Canis lupus familiaris: one gene and its partners. The protein of the gene in region 4 purifies or fractionates together with the protein of the main gene of each other region. This does not show direct contact. Links are inferred from orthologs where the notes say so. Each region holds a gene or a part of one and is shown on either strand. Other genes may lie near its edges.

Region 1 (5,427 bases), on a different chromosome or scaffold from region 4:
CCCAACACTGAGGAGAAAGCAGCCCTGAAGAGCAACCGTCGCACCTCCCCTCAGAGGTTGGAGGGTATTTTCTCCAGGTCTCTTCAAGACTTCATCACGGACAGCCGCCCCCCCAAAAAAACAAGCCCTTTCTCGCCCTGCCCTCCTGGCCAGCCTCCCTTCGGATCACTGGATCCTTGGATGGCGAGGTGGGGGGGTGCTGTTAGGGCCAGGTAGTTAACAAGACCGTAGCCTCCACCTCCCTTTCTGAGGAGTGGGGTAATTCCAATGGTTCCCCCCCAGGATCAACCCGACCCCCGTTTCCATGGAGACCCCCGCCCAGCCAGGAAGAAGACTCTCAGATCGTGGCGAACAAGTCTCACCTGGCTAAGGGAGAAGGGGGTGAGGAGGGGGTAGGGTAGGGCAGGGACGGGGTACGAAGGTGGAAGTGGAGGGGAGCTGTCCCGAAGGGAGGGGCGAGGGCAGAGCGAGCTCCAGGGAGCGCTACGTCCGGGGACACGAAGAGGACGGCGCCCCCGGGGGGCAAGCGGAGCGGCCGCGGGGCGAAGAAGGGACAGGGTTGAGGAAAGGCTTAAGATAGAAAGAAGCGGGTGGGGGGATACGAAAAAGCCGGGGAGTCAAAAGGGGTGGAGGGATTGGGGGAGAGAAAAAAAAGACGCACCTGTTCCCGGGTCGGCTCCGCGGGGAGGCTCAGGCCGCCACCCGGGCTCCCTCTCACCCACTCTGAGCCTCCACCCGCCTAATACTGCCCCGATCTGATGCCCCCCTTCCGCCCCTTATCGCCACCGACCTCCTTCTCCTCTCTCTCGGCGGCGGCGGCGGTCGGACTCTAGGAACTGAGAGGAAGAAGGGAGGGCTCGGCAAAGCGGAGGAGAGACAGAGCCACACACTGGCAGCAGCCGCGGCAAGCGAAAGAGTGAGGGGGAGAGCGGTGTGTGTGTGTGTCTGTGTGTGCGAGCGAAGCCTGGTGGAGTGGGTGCCGGTCGCAGGGCTCGACGGGAAGTGGAGTCCGGCGGGGTTCGCGGGCGGCGCCAGCCGCCGCTCCACGGGACTACAACTCCCAGAATGCCACCTGTCGGGGGGGAGGAATGGGGAGGTGGAGGCGAAGGGAGGGAGCGAGCGAGAGAGGGAGGGACGAAAGCAGGGAGCAAGCGGCGGCGAAGGGGGCAGAGCCAAGCAGCCCCGGTGACACTGGGAGGGGAGGGGAGGAGGAGGGGATCGCTGCGAGGACCAAGCGGATTCCGGAGAGGGAGGCAGCAGCAGTGGCTGCAGCAAGCCGGGCAAAAAGCTAGACTCCCAGGAGAGGCGGAGGCGCTCAATCCTAGGGGCTGCAAGAGCCCCACGCCCCCAGCCCTCAATGCCCCTCGAATGAGAAGATTGAGGAAAGGAAAAGATCAGGGCGCTAAGGCCAGGGGTTTCTGTTTCTTTCCCCCCAAGGCTCTCCACCATATGCCCCGACCTGACTTTCTCAGGCCACTGGTGCCCGATCCAATGTGCAAATCCAGAGACCCCAGATCTCCCCTGTCGGGCAGCACAAAACAGACATTCAGTCCCCTTCTCCCAGGGACCTGAGGGAAGCCCCCTTGCTGGCAGGGCGTGACTCCCCCTTCTTCCCCGCCCCGGTCGTCGCCACCCCCCATGCCCCTCTCCAGAACCCTCCCCTGAAGCCTGGGCTCGCTTCTTCCTACCTCACAAGAAACGGAGTCCCTCCGGGGGCGACTACCCAGCCCCCTCCTTTATACTGGGTCGCTACCCACCAGTATCTCCTTAGCGTTGCCCCCCTCACCGAAGTAATAGTGGGGGCGACCCAAGTTGGATTGGTGGCTACTTTCTCTCAGAGACTAGCCGTCCTTGGCCACGCCGACCCTGTGTAGAGAAGAGAAGCACATTAATACCGCCCCCCCCCCAAAGTTCAGATCCCCGGGGAAAAGGCTTACAAGGAAAGTGGGGTTGGTAGTGGAAGTGAGCTGGGGGTGAATCTCAATCCTCAAACCTCGCTGTAGGCGTGGAAACCCAGGGATTCCTCCCTTTCCTTAGAAGCCATCAAATCGCTTGAGGGGGAAAAGGGGGTACGTTATCTTAACCCAAATGTCCACACGACTCGAAGCGACGCTACATATAGGAATAAGATACGAACTAGGCTGCTGCCGCGGGAGGGAGAGTATACTGCCGCCCCCGCCACGCCGTCGTCCACCCTCAAACACACACCCCTAGGGGAGTCAGATGGCCTAGGAAGTGGGGGGAGCCGGTGGGAGTGCAGGAGAGTGAAAGGGTTGTGGTAAGGAGGGTCCGCGGCCCCCTGAGAGCAAAATCCAGATGCTAGGAGGTGGGTGGGGGGTGCGGCATAAATGCAGACGGTGTCTTTCCTTGCTTTTCCCTGAATCGCCGCCAAACACCGTCTAACACTCGTAGTTGCTTACCAGTCAGTCCCCTAGCCCCATTTGTGCGCGTGAGGCGGCCGGAGCCCGGGAAGCCCGGGCACAAACTCCGCGGAAGCTGGCCTTCGCCGCCGCCGCGCCGCTGCGGGCCTCCCTCCCTCCGCTGTCGGCCCCGCGGATCTACCTTCGCCCCCGGCCGAGGCCAGACCCCGCTCGCAACTCCACGCCCCTACTCCACCCCCGGCTCCCCCCTTCGCCCTCTCCCCGCGGGTCCGGCCCAGCCCCTAGCGCCGCCCCGCCCTACCGCTCGGTCCCCAGCCCAGCAAGTGCCCCGAACTCGCCCCCCGCCCCCACGCCCAGGCCAGTCCGGCGGGGCCTGGTTTCCCCCTCCCGCCGCGCCCCGCCCCCGAATCCACGTCCTACTTCGCCACCCAACTCGGCCCGGTCCGGGTTCGGCCCGCGCCCAGGCCACTGGAGTCTCTGGTTCGGTCCAGTGTACGGCCACCCACCCCGCCCTTGCCTGGGTGCCGGCCTGGCCCGCTGCCTGCGCCCGCCGAGCCGGCCCAGGCGCGCGGTCCGGGTCTGGCTCCCGGTGCCGGCCTCGGTCCCAGCGGCGTTGCCGCGTCTCGCCACGAGGGCTCGGTCCACGCAAGATCTGAACCCGCGCGGGGTGGGGGCCGCGGAAAGCAAGTTTCTTTATCTTCCCTCCGCCCCCGCCGCAGGGCCGCGCCATCCCCCACCCCCCACGGCGCCCCTTCACCTGGGCAGAGCCCCCCCGGCCGCTGTCGCAACTTTGCTCTTCTCCACGCCGCCGGGGAAGCGGGCGAAGCGAGAGGAGGAGGGAGGTGGCGGGGGGGTGCTGGGATCAGGCCTCTGGGCTCCGGGAGGACACGTGGGGGAGGAGGGGAAGGAGGAGGAGGAGGAAGGGGGGGCGGGCCTGCAGTTCTCGGGGCTCCCCCTGCCAGCCCCGGGGAAGCCGGAACCTCTCCGGGCAGCCACAGACCCCGCACTGGCCACGAGGGAAGAACGGAGCCACCTTCCCCGGCCAGCCCCCAGCTCCAGGAAGGGGGGGGCGGAGAGCAACGCCGCTCGGGGTCGGAGAGCGAGCGTTTTCGCTCGTGCTTTATGTGTGACTCTCTATCTCCGTTTAGCCTCCGTATATGGGGGGGCGTGGGGTCTTGCATGCAAGGGGCGGCGCGCGCCCGCCGGACGCCCCGCCCCTTCCCCGGCCCCCCACTTCCCTAACCCGGGCGACCTCGGTGCAAGGCTCTGGCGCTCGTGCACCGAGGCCGCCCGCGGGCGCAGCCCCAGCCCCGGCGCCGAAGTGGGACAGGTGCCGGGGAAGGGGAAATGCCGGGGCTCGCTGCCTTGCCTCGCGTCTCCCGAGCGGCCCACCCTTCGTGGCAACCTTCGGTGCTGCAAACCCTCTGGGCTGCTTTCAAAGGATAGCCCCTGGCCCGAGCGTGGAGGCACCTTTGGGGAGGGGGTGCCTGGAGCGAGAGGCCCGAGGGAGGAGGGAGGAGGGAGGAGGGAGGAGGAGGGGGATGAAAGGTCTGTAAATGGGGAAGCCTGAACGACTTGGGGCCGAAAACCTGGCTCGAGGAAAACTCTTGGCTTCTGCCCGCTCCCCCCCCCCCACCCTCCCAGGTTCCTCAGTCACCAAACCGAGCCCCCTTGACCCTTACCCTTTACTCTAATGACTCCCCGCCTGGCCAAAGGAATAAATCCTCATATGTGTTTACATCCCAGGCCATCCTGCCAACCCCAGGACTGAAGAGCTGAAAAGCCTGCGGTCCACATTGGAACTCTGATGGCTTTACATTAACTCCGAGGAGGAGAGTAGCTTGCGAAGGAGCTGAAGCTAACGGCAGACTTGCTTTCAGTATTAGGGTGTTTCTTAGCAGCTCCAACCCTGAACCCGTGGTTGGGACTTCAAAGGCATCGCCTCAGCATAGAGGGTATTCGGGGAGGTGCCCAGCAGTTCCTGGAGGGTTCAGGGCTTTGTAAACACGGAATGCAAAATGAATAGCAGGAATTTGAAAAAAAAATCTTTATGTGCAGATATATTGATATTATTTATTATATATTTATCTATACTAAGGAAGCCAGAGGGTCATTTGGACTAGAAGGAAGCCCTGATGGATTAATGTCTTCCTCCTCCTCCTCCTCCCTGCCCCCCTCTTTTGTCCCAGGCCCACAGAGGTTCCATCTCTAAGCTATGGGGTGTCTTCTTTCTGTTGAAAGGACTTTAGAGATGGCAGGTGAGACTTGCCGGTTATGTCTCCCTCACCTGGTTTAAAGGAGGAGTATTGTGGAGGAGGGTAAGCCACAAAGGTAGCAGTGGCTTTTCTGTTGTCTAAGGCCTGGTGTTCTGTGACCCCTCTGGATTGTCCTCAACAGCCTCAAAATGTACTGCCAGCAACGTGAACATATCACTTGCCATTTTGCTTGCTTTGGGAACTTCTTCCCTAGCTGTCTTACTTGGTCATTCCCACCCTCCTGTACATACTCCGCCCCCAACACACACACACTTTAAAAAATGTTTGACCTAAGTTGCACCAAGGGAAAGTGAAAATTTGAAAAAGATTCCTTTAAACTAATCAACATACAAATTCTAAAGGTATTATTAAGGTCGGAGGGATCACCTCTATTGGGCCTAATAATGCAGGCCCCACCGATTCTGCTTTGATTTAAATTAGCTGTCTTTGCTGATTTTAATTCATCTGGTAATTACTAAATTTCCACTTCTCTTAAGGGTCTTGGGGCCCTGGGGCTACTTTTTTCTTTGCTTTGAGGCTGAAATGGATTCTGGACACCTCTGTTCTCCATTCATCTGTATCTCACCATTTGGCTGCATCATTTATCTGGTGAAATGAACATTGGGGCAAGATGGTTATTTCCTGGCTCAAGCTCCAGCTTCTCTGAGCCCTTCCTGTTGGGGGCCACACTTCCTGCCCTATGGGAGGTGATGGGAAATCAAGGAGCAGGGTAGGGAGAGCTGTGGGAAACCTTGTAAAGAGTAGAGATTAATGATTATTTTATTTGAGGC
Region 2 (5,708 bases), on a different chromosome or scaffold from region 4:
AAATCCATAGAGCAACAGGTGGATGTTGGAAAGTCTGTAAAGAGGAAAACAAGAAGAAAAACAGTGCCCACATCACCTGACTTCTGTGGATCTCTTTTCTTCTCATCTATAAAAAAACTGAACTAGATCAACGTTTCAATTCTAACATTGTATTAGAATCACCTAAGTAGCTTAAAAAATATCCAAGCCTGAGAGTCTAATTTACTGGTGATCCTAATGGACAGCCACGAGAGAGAACCCCTGGACTCAACGGTCTCTAATGGTTCTAGTTCCAAAGTTCTAAGATTCTACGAGAATGTTTGGAAGAAGATAGAAGATTAAAAGGGTGGTGTGGGGGAAGGAGGAAGAGAAGACAAGTAGATGGAAAGGAAAAGTGGCAGAGTATTAGATCACTCTTCTAAAGAGTGCAGGCACTAAGGAACAGGGTCTGTTCCTTACGGACATCTAGCCCATCTCTCTTCACAGGCAGTCCACACACTGGGGGCCCTGACACAGGAATCCATCCAGAAGCTGTCCAAACAGCACAGCTCCGAAGTTAACTGGCTTCCAGATGCTCCATGAGGAGTCTCATCAGTAATTCTTTCCCCAGGAAGTCACTTGATTCTTTAATTTCCACCCTTCTTTAATTTCCCCCCTCACGTCCAACCCACAAACTATTTCTTGTCCTTTCCCAGATAGTAAATCAGAGCATAGGCTTAAGGGCAGCCCTGGTGGCACAGCGGTTTAGCGCCGCCTGCAGGCCGGGGTGTGATTCTGGAGACCCGGGATCGAGTCCCATGTTGGGCTCCCTGCATGGAGCCTGCTTCTCTCTCTGCCTCTGTCTTTCATGAATAAATAAAAAAGAAAACAAAACAAAAGCCATCCAGGCTTAAAAATCAAGCACCTATTCACACAAATGTAAAAGCAGTACCATATTAATGACTGGCATCTAACGTGTGCCAAATAAGTATTAGTCGTATGAAAGAACAAAGGAAATAGTCATTTGAAATCAGACTGCAGCAAAGGAAATTAGTAGTAGTCCCTTGGGGCTACTTCTGTCTAGTTCATAGGCCCTTAGACTTAAGATCAAACAGCTTTTTTTACACCTGGATGGCTCTGCCCACATGGCCTATATTCCCCTCTTCCTCTATAGCCTCCTGAAACCTCCCCGTCTTCAGGGGACACTCTGAAAGCACCTGGCTCAGAACCACTGCCATCCAAGGAGCGGGGAGTCCCAGGACTGAGCAAATGCAGCGGGGAGGTGGGCAGCTCCCCTGCTTCCCGATCTTCATTTTCTGCTTCACTTGACTCCTCTAGATAGGAGCTGCTCTCACTGCCCGCACTGCTGTTATAGCTCCGGAAACTGTCATAGCCACCAAAGAGCTCCAAGTCGTCCTCCTCTTCCTCTTCCTCTTCCATAGGTTCTGAAGATGGAGTCTCCTAGTGGAAGGATGACACAAACCAGGCTGGAGGAATCAGGTCTAGCTTAGTGTATGGGGAAGAAGGATGCAGGTCAGCTACCAGCATCTTTTCCAGGTCTTGGTCAACACCTTTGGACCAAGTGGCAGGCAGAATCAAATATCCCTTTTGCAAACACCAGGATCATTACTCCTGTTTATATAGTTCTTAACTGAAACTCATCAGGATAGTTTAACAAAACAGGTAATATCAGGAATTCACCAAGCTCCTCCTGTGTATTTATAAATGATGATGTTTTAACTTGATTCAAATAGAATACGATGATGTGAAAATACTCTGTTATCTCATGAAGACTTTCTGGGGGAAGATGTATGTTAGAAAATCAACTTCCCCCCTTCAGCATATGTACATCAACACAGTGTCAATTCGGAAACCATTTCAGCCACAGAAAAGTCAATTTGGGACGCGGATCCTACCCTGAGGAGGATCTAGGAGACAGAGGACACACTAGTTATCGCACAGTGTATGTATGTACCATAGCTCTGGACTCTGCTCCAATCCTAACTAGCTGTGGGTCTTTGGGCAAGTCATTTAACTCCTCTGGGCCTCAACTTTTTGATCTGTGAAATAAGTAGCTCACAGGATGTGAAATGTAAATGAGATACTGTCTATCAATCCACCTGGAAGGAATGTAGTAGAAAAGGTCCTAGGCCAGGGCTCAAATACCATCTCTACCGCTGACCAGCTGTATGATCTGCAGCAAGTCAGTCTCTTGGTGCATCAGTTCCCACCTCTGTAAATGAGGAAACTACCTCCTTCAGAAGCTTTGCGGGAGAAATAAGAGTGAATATAAGTGTTGTACTCAAAACAGTGCCTTGCAAGTATTCAAGACATACTGGCAATTATTTCTGGGTAAAAGCATGGGGCTTTTCAACCAGATTTGCCTGAATCCTGGCTCTACCACTCAATTGTGATTTTGTGCAACATACTGAGCCTGTTTCTTCAGTTTCTTCATCAGTACAAGAGAGGTAACAGCAGGCCTTCTTCAGATAACTCGAATGAAGACTGAGATGTGTAAAGCCTAGTTGTTTCTAGCCATTAGGGAGGGCTGTAAACGCGTGAGTGCTTATTCTCCTTTACCCTTTACAGTTTGGGGGCTATTCCATTTTCAGGTTTACAACTACGTCCCCAAATGTGCTAAAGAAGAGACCGAATTTAAATACAAGGTGACCAGAAGCCAAGTGACCCAGGGGTGAGTGGGTTACAGGTTGCAGGAGAGTGGGAAAGGCTGGGGAGCCTGAACGACTGGGTGCCCATCTCCTTCCCGCTGCGGTTGGGTGGCCCTCCTGGGGGGCACCATCTGGCTGTAAGCGTCGGCTACTCCAACCATAACAACGAAACAGTGACACAGGATTGTTGTGAGTATCCCGGGCGATAATGCCCGTGAACGCTCCAGACACGCAGTGGCAGGAAACTTGAATCTCCCTCACGTCCCACCAGGATGTCACAGGCCTCCTGATCCCCAAAGAAACGACCAGAGAGAGGGAGGACAAAGAAGATCCAGGAGCTCCCAGATCCTGAACCCAGTTCCCGTTCCCGCAGGCCAGGGAGGCTGTTCCGCCCCGACCTACTCGCGGGACGTCGGCCCCAGCGGTGTGGGCGCAAAAGGCAACGCCAATCGCCTCTGGCCCTGCTCAGCCTAACTACCTCAGTTTATCCATCCTTCCACTCTCCACCCTCCAGGCGTCGCCCCAAGGCCTCGAGAACGGCCCCCCGTGCGAGGCTCAAGGGCTTCCCTTTCCCGGTCACGATAAATCCTCCCCCTCTCACCTCGACGCCCCGCGTCTTCTCCATGAGACCTAACACCCGTTTCTTCAACCGTCACCAGGTGCAGGAAGCCATATTGGCCTCGCGGCTCTTCCTGAGCGCAGTCATTGGCCGCCTCCCAGAGCCGCGGGCCAATCACGTTGCAGGAAAAAGGAAAAGCCGGTTCCGCGCTCGCCCGCGCCCCAGCCCCGGGGGGGGCGGGGAAGCCGCGGGTACTTGTGGGACTTGTAGTTCCCCTGTGGGTGCGCGTGGAAGGGTGCGTTGCTATAGCGATGTGAAAATCCCTGCGGCACTGCGGCAGACCTCGTTTCTCTGCGCTAACCTCCACCTCTCAGCCCTACTCCGTTCTTTAGCAAACAATTCTTGAGCACGTACGATAGGTGCTGTTCTAGGCACCAGGAATGACAGATTAGAAGAATTTTAAGGTGCCCTTGGGCCAGGACGACTTGCAAAGAAACGCATTTCCAATTCCGGCAGAAAGCGGATTGCTCTTATGCCCAGTGCTATAAATGCCTCACATGCTCCAAATCCTGTAACATTGTCCCTCCATCATCATCCCCTGAATAAAACCTCGAGTATGAGGCACTCTGCCTCCCTCATTTTGGATGTCTCACAACCTCCTTGAACACTCAGTTCTAGGTGCTCTGGTGGAGCTTTTTACACAACAGCTCAAATCTGGAGACAGCCCATCACCCTATTAAAGATGAATCTGTGGCTCTTTGGAATTGGGATTTAAGGTTGGAATTGGAACCTAAGAATTGGAATTTAAGGTTTAGTCCAGGTTCTTTCCCTGTGCTATGCGGTGCTCTAATGAATTAGGAATCTAAATGTAAAAAAAAAAAAAAAAAAAAAAAAAAAAGAATCTAAATGTAGGGGCGCCTGACTGGCGCAGTCAGAGGATCTTGAGGCACTTGATCTTAGGATCATTGGTTGGAGCTCCACTGAGTGTAGAGATTTTTAAAAAATAAACTGAAAAAAAATAGACAAAAGAAAAAAAAAGAATCTAAATGTAATAAATGGAGGCTGAATATATGTTAAAAATATTTCTAAATTTGAGGTCCACCACATAGATGTGAAAGTCTTTGATTTTTCTTTTCTTTAACTCCTTCTGCCACCAACCCCATATTCATGCTATCAACCAGTATTGTTGGTTCTACAGCCAAAATGTATCCTGAATTCCTCCTCCACTATCACCCTCATGGAAGCCACCAGTCCAGCACAATAGGCCTCAAACAGGTCCCTGTTTGACTTTTCACTTTCTTTAATACAGGTGATCTTTTAAATCATAAGCCAGATCATGTTCATCCCCTTGCTTAAAACCTCCATTAGCTTCCCCCTGCACTTTCAAAAAAATTCAAACATTCCATAAGCCCCTGAATGACCTGGCCCCAGTTTTCTCTTCAACCAGCTGCTGTACTGGGCACCTGGGTGACTCAGTGGTTGAGTGTCTGCCTTTGGCTCAGGTCATGATACCATGGGTCTTGGGATGCAGTCCTGTATCAGGCTCCCCGCAATGAGCCTGCTTCTCCCTCTGCCTGTGTCTCTGCCTCTCGTGTATCTCATGAATAAATAAAATATTAGAAAAAAAAAGAAAAAAAAAAAAGAAAGAAAAAAAAGAACAAACCCTGCTTCTGTGCTACCCTCTCCACCTCTCACTGCATCCATCCACTCACTTCTTGACTGCGAAGCTTGAGTTTGCCTCAACGCCTTTGCACTTGATGCTCTTTGTGGGGCATTCTTTCTGTGGCTTTTCTCAGAGATGGTTCTTCATTTCTCAAATTTCAGTTCAAAGTCACCTCCTCAGAACTTTATTTAGAATAGCTTTTCTTTCCCCTCACTCAGTATCCCTTCACCCAATTTACAGTTCTTTATAATACTTGTTCCTGTCTGAAATTATCTTCTTCACTTGTCTATTTCTTTATTGTCTATCTCGCACCACTGGAATGTAAGCCCCATAAGGGCAGGGACTTTGTCTTGTTCTCTACTCTTTTTCCCGAGCCAAGAACAGAGCCTAGCATCTACTAGGTGCTAAAGAGATAGATAATAAGTCTAAGGATTCCAACCTTCTTAAAGTCAGAGTGCTGGATTAGGTAGCTTGCTCCTCTGACTCTTGTGAACTGTTTGTGGGTTTTTCGTTTTTTGTTTTTTTTGTTTTTGCTTTGTGTGTGTGTGAACTGTTTTGTTTTACCACCAGCAGGGTTCTAGGCCCAGTACCTTCATGAGGAGACTTGGGCTTTCCTTCTCCGGGCTTCACCTTCTTCATCAAGTAAACTGGATTGTTACTTTCATTCAACTTGAAAATTTTCATTATTCCAAATGGAATATGGAATAAACAAGACTCAACATCAAGCATGATAAAGAGTGTAGGTTTTACTTTGTACAGTAGAAATAACAGGGTTGCCTCATTGGGTTTTATAAGAATTAGAAGTAAGAGGGCACCTGGGTGGCTCAGTTGGCTGGGCGTCTGCCTTCGGCACAGGTCA
Region 3 (4,925 bases), on a different chromosome or scaffold from region 4:
TTCCATTTTTCTCCAAAAAGAGAAACATCTCTCTAAATGTAGGTAGTTATGTCCTCTTCTAGTTCTAAGGTCACCCAATCCCTATTTTTTATACATCTACCAAATAGGCTATAATCACTTCACACAGAAAATGTCAAAACAAAAAACAAACAACTAAATGAGAGCAAATGGGAATAGGACTTTCAGGATTCTTTTTTTAAACCTAACTTGAAAGGGACTATCAAGCATCTATCCCCCAAAAGCATAAGCCAGCCTTCCCATAATAGCAGGCAACTGTCAAAGAATATAAGCTCAATAAATGTTACCTGACTGACACAGCCTTAAAAACTACAGTCATTTAATAATGATCTAAACCTAGGCATCCAATTCAGGTCTTAGTGATCTTCTGGAAAAGCTAAGGTCTCTAATAAATCATTTAAATTCTTGAGGTTTCAGTCACAACAAAAATGGGCTCACCACCTTTTCTACATCATCAACCTCCTCACTCTGGTAGTCAGAAACAACATCCACAATCTCATCAATAGAATCATCGGTTTTCTCATTCTCATCTTCCTCGTCCTCATCTTCCAAATCCAAAAGAGTCAAGTCAGCACTGCTTCGCCCACCCTTCGTCTCTTGCTTTGGTTGTATCTGTTCTGACAGCAGTAAGTGACCTTGAAAATGTCCTTCCCCTCTGCTCCCTTTTGTAGCTCTCCTCGGAACAATGGAGAAGGCTGTAGGACTAGAAATCCTACTCCAAGAATCACATTCAGTTTTTAAAACTCTGACATTTTCAGTAGTTCCACTTTTTCCAAGTAGATCAGGAATGCCTTCTTGTTGAAACATATCAGAATTTTCCTGACAAGTCTTTATTTCTTTAATTAACTGCTCATCTGCCTCTTTCTTGCATTCTTGTGAAGTTCCAACACATTTCTGGGTCAGAGGGCCCTTTGGGTGTTTTCTCCATCTCTCCCTAATATCGTCCTTTTCCAGAGAGTCTCCACATCCCTTCTCCTTGCCCTCTGGCTGTGGAATAGATTGCTGCTCCACAACTTTGTTGCCTGATAATTCAATTTTACTGTCTTCCTTAGAGATGATTGGAAATTCATTCGATTTTTTCTCTGGATTTTCTAATCCTTTCTGCTGTTCCACTTTTACATCACCAAGCTTTTTAAGCTGTACACTATTTACACTTTGGACTGTCACATTGCTGGCTTTTTTGGAAATAGTCTTAACTTCTAGGAGAGTCCGCTTTTCTTTGGAACTATTTTCATTTCTAACCCCATACTCTTCATCATCTTTATAGTCTTCACCTACTATGTGTGAAGCAGTGATACAGGAGGGCTGAGAAGGTTTAACAGTTATAGGACCCTCTTCTGTAAGGGATTCTTCATCTAAATGATCACCCCCATCTCCCAAGGAATCATGTAGGATTTCTTCTGAGGCAGCAGCTCCTGAGTTTTGCTTTATTATATTAGCTTCAGAATCTATAGCTTCTCCTTCTGACTGTAGAGTCTTCTTAGTGTCCTGCTGCTCTCTTTTCAAAAAGCTTGTTTCATCTTTCTGGTCTGCACTCTGGGACTCTCTCTTCATCTGAAGAGAAGCAACATGTTGAAGAATGGAACTGGGAACAGGCTTTTGTCCAGGGAGCTGCAACAAAGCAAAACTACCAGACTGGAGAGGAATAAGACTGGCTGTACCAACAGGCTGCCCTCCTGAGCTATAGGTTATTTTGGTTTCAGAGCCTGCTTTACTTGCAAAGCTTTGTGGTTCAGGAGGGGAAATCCTCAGGGTCAATGTACCAGACTGAGACACAAAACTAGGTCCAGAAGAAAGCAATGATGGTGCCTGAGTGATAACATTCACTGCTGGAGAAGACCCAACAGCTTGAATTACAGGATTCATAACAGAGAAAGCAGAGGATGAAGCAGAAGATGGTGGAGTCTCTGAAGGTTTGGAAGGAGTGGGTAACCGGATTCCCATCACAGAGCCTGGTAAGAAAAAAAATTTTTTTGAATTATTACCACTCCATATCAAGATTCCCAAGCATATGCTTTTCTTTTTGGACTGGTTAACTCAAAGAGACTAAGAAATCCTGGTGTATTAACAAGCCATATGGCCAAATGATTCAACAAAAGAAAAATTCATCAGAAAGATCTCCAATTTTATACCTGGGTTCCGAAACATGACAGGCTGTAAGTTGGGCTGGGTATTAGAGCCTCGAAGCTGATGCAAAGGGAGTAGCTGAACAATCTGCCCATTAGGATGCCTGAATAGATTCATTCCACTTGGGCTCCTAACAGGCTGCAAGACCATCCGATGCCCCTGAAGTTGTGTGTTTGGGACAGGTCTAAGAGTAGGAGAACCTTGCTGCACTGGAATCAGTAACAATCGAGGTCCAGTACGTTTCACTGTGTTAGGAGAGACCTGGGGAGTAGCCACTGGAATCTGAGGGGCATTTTCTGAAAAACAGGAAATGGAAACATAGTATCAGAGAATTTCCCCTTTAATACATGTAGGAAAAAATTATTATGACATAGGATTTGACCACATTACAGATAACTTCTAATTTGATTTATATAGTTGGTGAAATCCTACATCTCTATCATACATTACTTAATAGTCCTATGGCTGAGAACAATTTATCTTAAAACCAATTATCAACCAGACATTGTAGGTCCTTACATTCAGAATGGTTTAAAAAAAAAAAAAAAGGAAGAGAGAGACAGAGAGAGCTCGTGCATCAATTGTCAAGAGGTGCATTTAAAGAAACAATGCCTCTGCCTAATGAAAAACACAGCAGGTCTTTAAATCTGGATTCTCATTAAAATTAAACAGGTCATTCTTTATAAAATTCTCTTCTTCAACCTTGTAATTCAGGTTGTTAACACTTACTAGAATTATGACTTCATTTCACAGGTCATACTCAAGTAAGATAAAGTCAAGGACTAAAAGTCATGAGGCATAAAAAAATTCCTTGGCTTTTAAAATTCACTGACAAATAAAGCATAAAGATCTGTGGAAATTATTTTTCAGAAGGAAAAAAAAAATACATACCCCCAAAAAATGGAATGAAATTAAGAGACATCAAAGAAGCAGGGAAATAAAGCCTGGTTAGGAAGAGGCAAAAGATAGTTTTAAAACAAACAGAAAAAGCAAAAATTTAATGCAGAAGATGTGAATTTAAAAAAATTTCAAACCATTAATAGCATCTAAAGACCCACTTTAATGTTTGGAAGAGATATTTAGAAATACTGAAGACACAGAAAAAAAGATTATGAGTAGTCTACAGATTTTGGCCATGGGGATAAAAAGGAGTAGCGATAATAGCAAGCAAAAAGGAAACTAACATTAACATTCAAATTAGTGAACTTAGTTAATATTATTAAACATTTTTATTAGTTTGTCACTAAATAGAAAAATCAAACAACCAACCAAATCAGTTTAACACGTGACATTCTATTAGATAAGAACTCATACCCACAAAATGTATCAGGTAAGCACTCTACCCACAAAAATATCAAACTTGTAAAAGGAAGTTATGCTCCTAACGTTTACATGACAAATTATATATAAGATCCAAAACTATTCTTAAAAATAAAATGCAAAGACCAAACTGTTCAGGGCAGGGCAGGGTGGGGCAGGGCGGGGAGGAGTATGCAATTTAAACAAAAAACATTTATCTTATGTGAATTAAAAAACACGTTAAAACATTCTTAATTTCCTGAACATTTCTATTCAAAAAACATTTTAGAGAGTGATTCAATTCCAAAGTACTCTAATTCAGAGAATGAAAGCAGCCTTTAGCACATACACTAAATATGTGATTATTTATTCACATGCAGGTAAGGGGAAGAACGGAAAAGAGAAAAAGAAGGGAAGTTAAATGAAAAAGTCACAGATGTCTAAGTGCCCAAGTTGAGATCCTCTTTATAAACCTAGAACAAAATTACACATACCTAGAAATAGAAGTTACCAGAGTCAGCTCCACTTTTAAAAAGCAGGTAAGAAAATTTGTTAACATTAATAGTTCCTCAAGTGGTATTATGGAAAATATTCTTAGATGGATACAGAATAAGAATACCACCATATCACATTGTCAGAAAGTATTTTCTTTCTCAATTTGAATCTTCTGATTGTATACAGAAGAAAATACTAGTCTTTGATATCGTATCAGCATTTTCTAGCTTTCTTCATTAACAGAGTGCAAGCCACATGTTAACATATGGTAGCTAGCTAAAATATATTTCTTACTATTATTGTTTCTAGTGTATTTATGGAGTGAACCTCTGTTACTCAAATAATGTTGGTTTCCAATTACAGTAAAATTGCTCCTTTTAAAAATACATTTAAGGAAACAAAGGAGTTGACTTAAATAAAAATATTGAGTCAATAATAATACAAATGAGAATCAGAGCAAAATACCTGAATGTAAATTGAGGGACTGAAATCTGAGAACCAGTGAACTATAAAAAGCTAAACTACTTTATAGTTTCAAGATAGAATTAAAAAGGATAGAATCCGTAACATTTAGAACATCTGTTAAAATATGACAAGATATAAACCTTGGGATTCAACAGGAACTCGAAACAGCTTCAAACAATCTTATTTCTGAAATTACATCTTAAACTAACCATTTCTTATATGTTTACATATGGGAAGAAGAAGACAACCAATTTAATACCGTGATTCATTTATCCTTTCAAAAAACCTTCAACTTTAACTCCCAAGTCACTTCATTCCTAAAGTATCAATGGAGATTTGGACCATGTCACTAAAGGCAAAAATATTTAGTTGGAAAAATATCAATAGCCAAGACAGAATTATTGTTTATTATTTATTTCCCCTTAAATCCTTTGAAGTCTCACTCTTCTACACAGTAAGTCTCTTTGAGTACACTAAGAGAACCATTTATTTTAGCCAGCTGAATTAGGATATAAAAATTA
Region 4 (3,716 bases):
GTTCAATGACAAGAGCACTAAACCTGAATTATAAAGCTAAATAATCAATGTTTTATTGTTTACTACTCTGCTAGTAAACATTACAATAATGAACGTTTTAAAAGATAAACAAAAACAAAGATAAAACCAGAAACATAATTCAGGAACAATAATTTAGTAAAATGTGTCAAAAACATTGGCAACGGTTCATACAAATTCTTTATTTAATAACAATTTTTCCTATTTAACCACACCAAGTACCAGCAGGTGTATTTAAGAGGATAACCATTAAGAAAATCCTGTTGCAGCAATAGTTGATTAAGTTGATCTTTGACTTGTATACATATAACTATTTGTTTCACAATTCTCAAATAATACATATTTAGGCAGCTTGCACTATGTTATAAAAATTTAAATTCGTTACATGCCAATAGTAGAGAATTCAAGAATTATGTGTTAGAATTCACTAAACTAAAAGTGAAAATAGACTTACCAATAACACTGCATAATGAATAATTCAACCACATTTTCATGGCACCTTGAACTGTGGAGACCAAAATGTCAAGTCTGAAAATGTTTGGTAAGCATAGATTGCAATAAAGTCTAACAAATTCTAACAAATTTCTATTCTGTGTAAAACGCAAATTATGGATTGTGCGTGAATGTTTGTCATGAAAATGTGGTACTTCTTGGCATAATCTGTGTATTTGCATGTTATGACAGAAGTGACTAAGAAATTGGAGAAAATAAACTTTAATGAGATTCTCCATTCAATGATGAGGCTTCTCCTCTGGGTGAAGATGACCTGGACATTCCCCTCTCTGTATTATCAGAGCTAGAGCCACTCTGACTGTGTTGATCTGCAGAAGCAGCACTAGATGCAGGCGGTGACTTCGTTTTCTCCTTAAAGTCTGTAATAATGACTGTCAGATCTCCAACGGTAACTTCCAAATGCTGAGCACTACTCCGATCCACATTTTTCAATCTTGGCCTAAATACAAAAGATGGTAAAATTTTAAACTCTCTTCTCTCTACCAACTTTCAAACATATAATGCATAAATTGTGTAAGAATAACAAAATGAATACATCTATATTTAAAGCTCCAGATTCATAAATAACTAGCCACAAAAATATAATTAAATGTTTCAAATCATTAACGTTAATCGAACCCATCAATGATGAATCTTCTTCAACATGACAAACTGATACCCTGGAAGCAATGGTCTCTTAATTGTGCTTTTATAGCTTTATCATAATTTTTCAGATAGCTAATCAATTTTACTAAGATAAATGTTTTAGGAAAGCAATGACATAGTTGGATCACAGAGTAAGTTGGTAACAGTTAAGGCTGTGTTATACGTAAGGCTGTTATTCCAGAGATGTGCACTGTTAAAAGCATCATGATTATCTGTTCTGCTTGTATCCATGAAGATTTTAACTGCTTAAAGCCCATGCAAATATCTGTTCGGTACTGTGAATATCACTCTTGGCTTCATGGTTGGAAAAGAATAAGCTCAAACACAAATGTCTTTGAATCTAGTAAACAAAACAAAAAGCAAAAGCAAAAGCAAAAGCAAAAGAAAAAGTAAAAGTAAAAGTAAAAGAAAAAGAAAAAGAAAAAAAGCATCCTTACATTTAAGCGTATAATGGTGGCCTCTGTGTTTAATTTCTAATCTATCTCTCAAACTCAGAAAAACATGATATTTTATAATAAAGGAGCTGAAATCTTTTATTTCCACTTTGTATAAGAATATATCAATGTAAAAAAAAGAATGTTAAATGGTTCATTTTATTATTTCACAAGTGCCATAAAACACTCTTCAAATTTACCTGGTTTTCTTATGACTGTTCTTTTTGCTAGTTGTTTCCTTTTCACTTTTTTCTTTTTCTACTTTATCTTTTTTCTCTTTCTTTGACTGTGTAGGGGGCACAAACTGCTGAGTAACCTGCTGGGCAACCAACTGGGAGACAGGTCGAGGCTTCCTGTGCGCATGTTAAAAAGAAAGGTTTTTTTTTTTATTATAACTAAGAATATATATTCTTTATGAAAATAGCTCAAATTTTAGATATATGACATGATTTTCAAATAAAAAAATTCTTCATGTGAGATAATATGCAATTTAACAGATTTTACACACATACACACACAAATTATTGTCTTTCCTATCTAACAAAAAAGAACTATAATAACAGCAAAAGTTATAGCCCAAAATATATGGTCACACCATTAAAATATAACCATTACATAAATCAATGTGAAAATTATTAAAAAAGTATATCAAACTGAATGCTTATAGGGCAGCACACATATAAACAAACATGAATCCTAAAATTAAACTTAAAAATTTATACTGAAATAATGTTTACATTATCCCTTCTCTCTCATAGAAGGAAATATTTAACCATCCGTGACAATGGCTATTTATTCTTTCCTCTAAAATCTTTCATTTATTCATTTAATAAATATTTGAGTATTAAATTTTCTCACTCTTTATTGCTAAAATTTCTTGAGGTTCCTTATATCTCTAGCCACAATCTTGCCATGCTTTTTGTGACCCTGACAATCTGCCCAGTCCTTTGAGACTTGCCTACTTACTCACTTATTCATTTAAAAAATACTGAAAACCTATTGTAGATATTGCGCCAAGATATCTGAAATGTTGTTTGGCTTCACCCTTTGGTGCCAGTACAAAGCTGTGACTCCACTGACCCAGGGTCAAGGATCCCTCCAGCTTTATGGTAGAACATGGGAAGTGAGGTCAAGATTCAAAGTAAACAATCTCTAAATTCTTAAACTGAGAGACAGAAAGAAGACTGAGGAGGAGAAGGAAGAGAAGTAAAAAAGTAAGGGAGAGGAAGATAAACATACATTTTTACAGACAGTCTACAAAAAACACAGTAATTTTATTGCCTGGAAAATCCTGACCCTATTTCAATCAGAATTATTAAAGGATCTTTCTGATATTGCTGTTCCTCTAAAACAAGACAAAATAGAAACCAATGAGAAAATACTGCACTGTCTACAATTCAAAGCTGTAAGGAGGAATCTTTTGAAGGAGTAAGTAGGAAACACAGCATATAAAAAACAGGTTTCAGTAGATGGATAATGAATTTTGTTTAAAGCCCACAGAGCCTAAAGTACAGAAGGAATATCCAAGAAAGATGTTCAGCATAATTTAAGAAATAGGGTTGATAAAAGTATCAGAGTTAATGATGTAGACTAAGAGTCACACAAATAAAAGTGATATTTAGCATGGTAATTAATGGCTGAGCTTGGTAAGGAAATAAATTTTCTAAAGAATAGATTAAAACAATGGTTCCTAAATTTAAGGTACATCAGGATCCCCTGGAGGGCCTGTTAATAGCTTGCTTAGCCCTACTCCCAAGGTTTCTAATTCAGTGGGCCCTAAGGTGGAGCCTAATTTGCATTTCTAAGTGGTTTCTCAGTTAGCTGATGCCTCTGATCTAGTCCATACTTCACAAAGAAGCTTGAAGAAGTACAATATATAGGTATTACGGTTGTATAAAGTTTGAGATGGAGAGTGGGGAGTGACAAGGGAATGGAAGAAAAAAAAAAGCAAGGCTAAATGGATGGGAAGGAATCCAATAATGAAGAGCTAAGGAGTGTGACTTACTCTTAAAAGATGGGAGATTGAGAAAAAAAAAAAAGGACGGGAGATCACAAAAGAATTGAATTTTACAAAGATTACTGGCACCGGCAGCAGTCTGAAGGGGA

The links.
Region 1: the proteins of YAF2 (region 4) and BCORL1 purify together in Homo sapiens (affinity purification with mass spectrometry; 5 studies listed by BioGRID and IntAct, counting the BioPlex papers as one, with this or other methods). This does not show direct contact. The link is inferred for Canis lupus familiaris from reciprocal best matches to the Homo sapiens genes YAF2 and BCORL1.
Region 2: the proteins of YAF2 (region 4) and L3MBTL2 purify together in Homo sapiens (affinity purification with mass spectrometry; 5 studies listed by BioGRID and IntAct, counting the BioPlex papers as one, with this or other methods). This does not show direct contact. The link is inferred for Canis lupus familiaris from reciprocal best matches to the Homo sapiens genes YAF2 and L3MBTL2.
Region 3: the proteins of YAF2 (region 4) and MGA purify together in Homo sapiens (affinity purification with mass spectrometry; 5 studies listed by BioGRID and IntAct, counting the BioPlex papers as one, with this or other methods). This does not show direct contact. The link is inferred for Canis lupus familiaris from reciprocal best matches to the Homo sapiens genes YAF2 and MGA.

The regions. Positions count from the first base shown.
Region 1 is NC_049260.1:102,047,042-102,052,468, reverse strand, and holds the start of BCORL1 (BCL-6 corepressor-like protein 1), read right to left. Parts: upstream 3,282-5,427; 5' UTR 3,139-3,281; intron 2,570-3,138; exon of another isoform or gene 2,421-2,569; intron 1,867-2,420; exon of another isoform or gene 1,689-1,866; intron 977-1,688; exon of another isoform or gene 791-976; intron 1-790. UniProt on the Homo sapiens protein: Transcriptional corepressor. May specifically inhibit gene expression when recruited to promoter regions by sequence-specific DNA-binding proteins such as BCL6.
Region 2 is NC_049231.1:24,974,663-24,980,370, forward strand, and holds the start of L3MBTL2 (lethal(3)malignant brain tumor-like protein 2), read right to left. Parts: upstream 3,384-5,708; 5' UTR 3,253-3,383; coding exon 3,229-3,252; intron 1,420-3,228; coding exon 1,176-1,419; intron 1-1,175. UniProt on the Homo sapiens protein: Putative Polycomb group (PcG) protein. PcG proteins maintain the transcriptionally repressive state of genes, probably via a modification of chromatin, rendering it heritably changed in its expressibility.
Region 3 is NC_049251.1:9,076,649-9,081,573, reverse strand, and holds part of MGA (MAX gene-associated protein), read right to left. Parts: intron 3,984-4,925; exon of another isoform or gene 3,825-3,983; intron 2,442-3,824; coding exon 2,151-2,441; intron 1,971-2,150; coding exon 460-1,970; intron 1-459. UniProt on the Homo sapiens protein: Functions as a dual-specificity transcription factor, regulating the expression of both MAX-network and T-box family target genes. Functions as a repressor or an activator.
Region 4 is NC_049248.1:34,804,380-34,808,095, forward strand, and holds part of YAF2 (YY1-associated factor 2), read right to left. Parts: intron 1,964-3,716; coding exon 1,811-1,963; intron 971-1,810; coding exon 733-970; 3' UTR 1-732. UniProt on the Homo sapiens protein: Binds to MYC and inhibits MYC-mediated transactivation. Also binds to MYCN and enhances MYCN-dependent transcriptional activation. Increases calpain 2-mediated proteolysis of YY1 in vitro.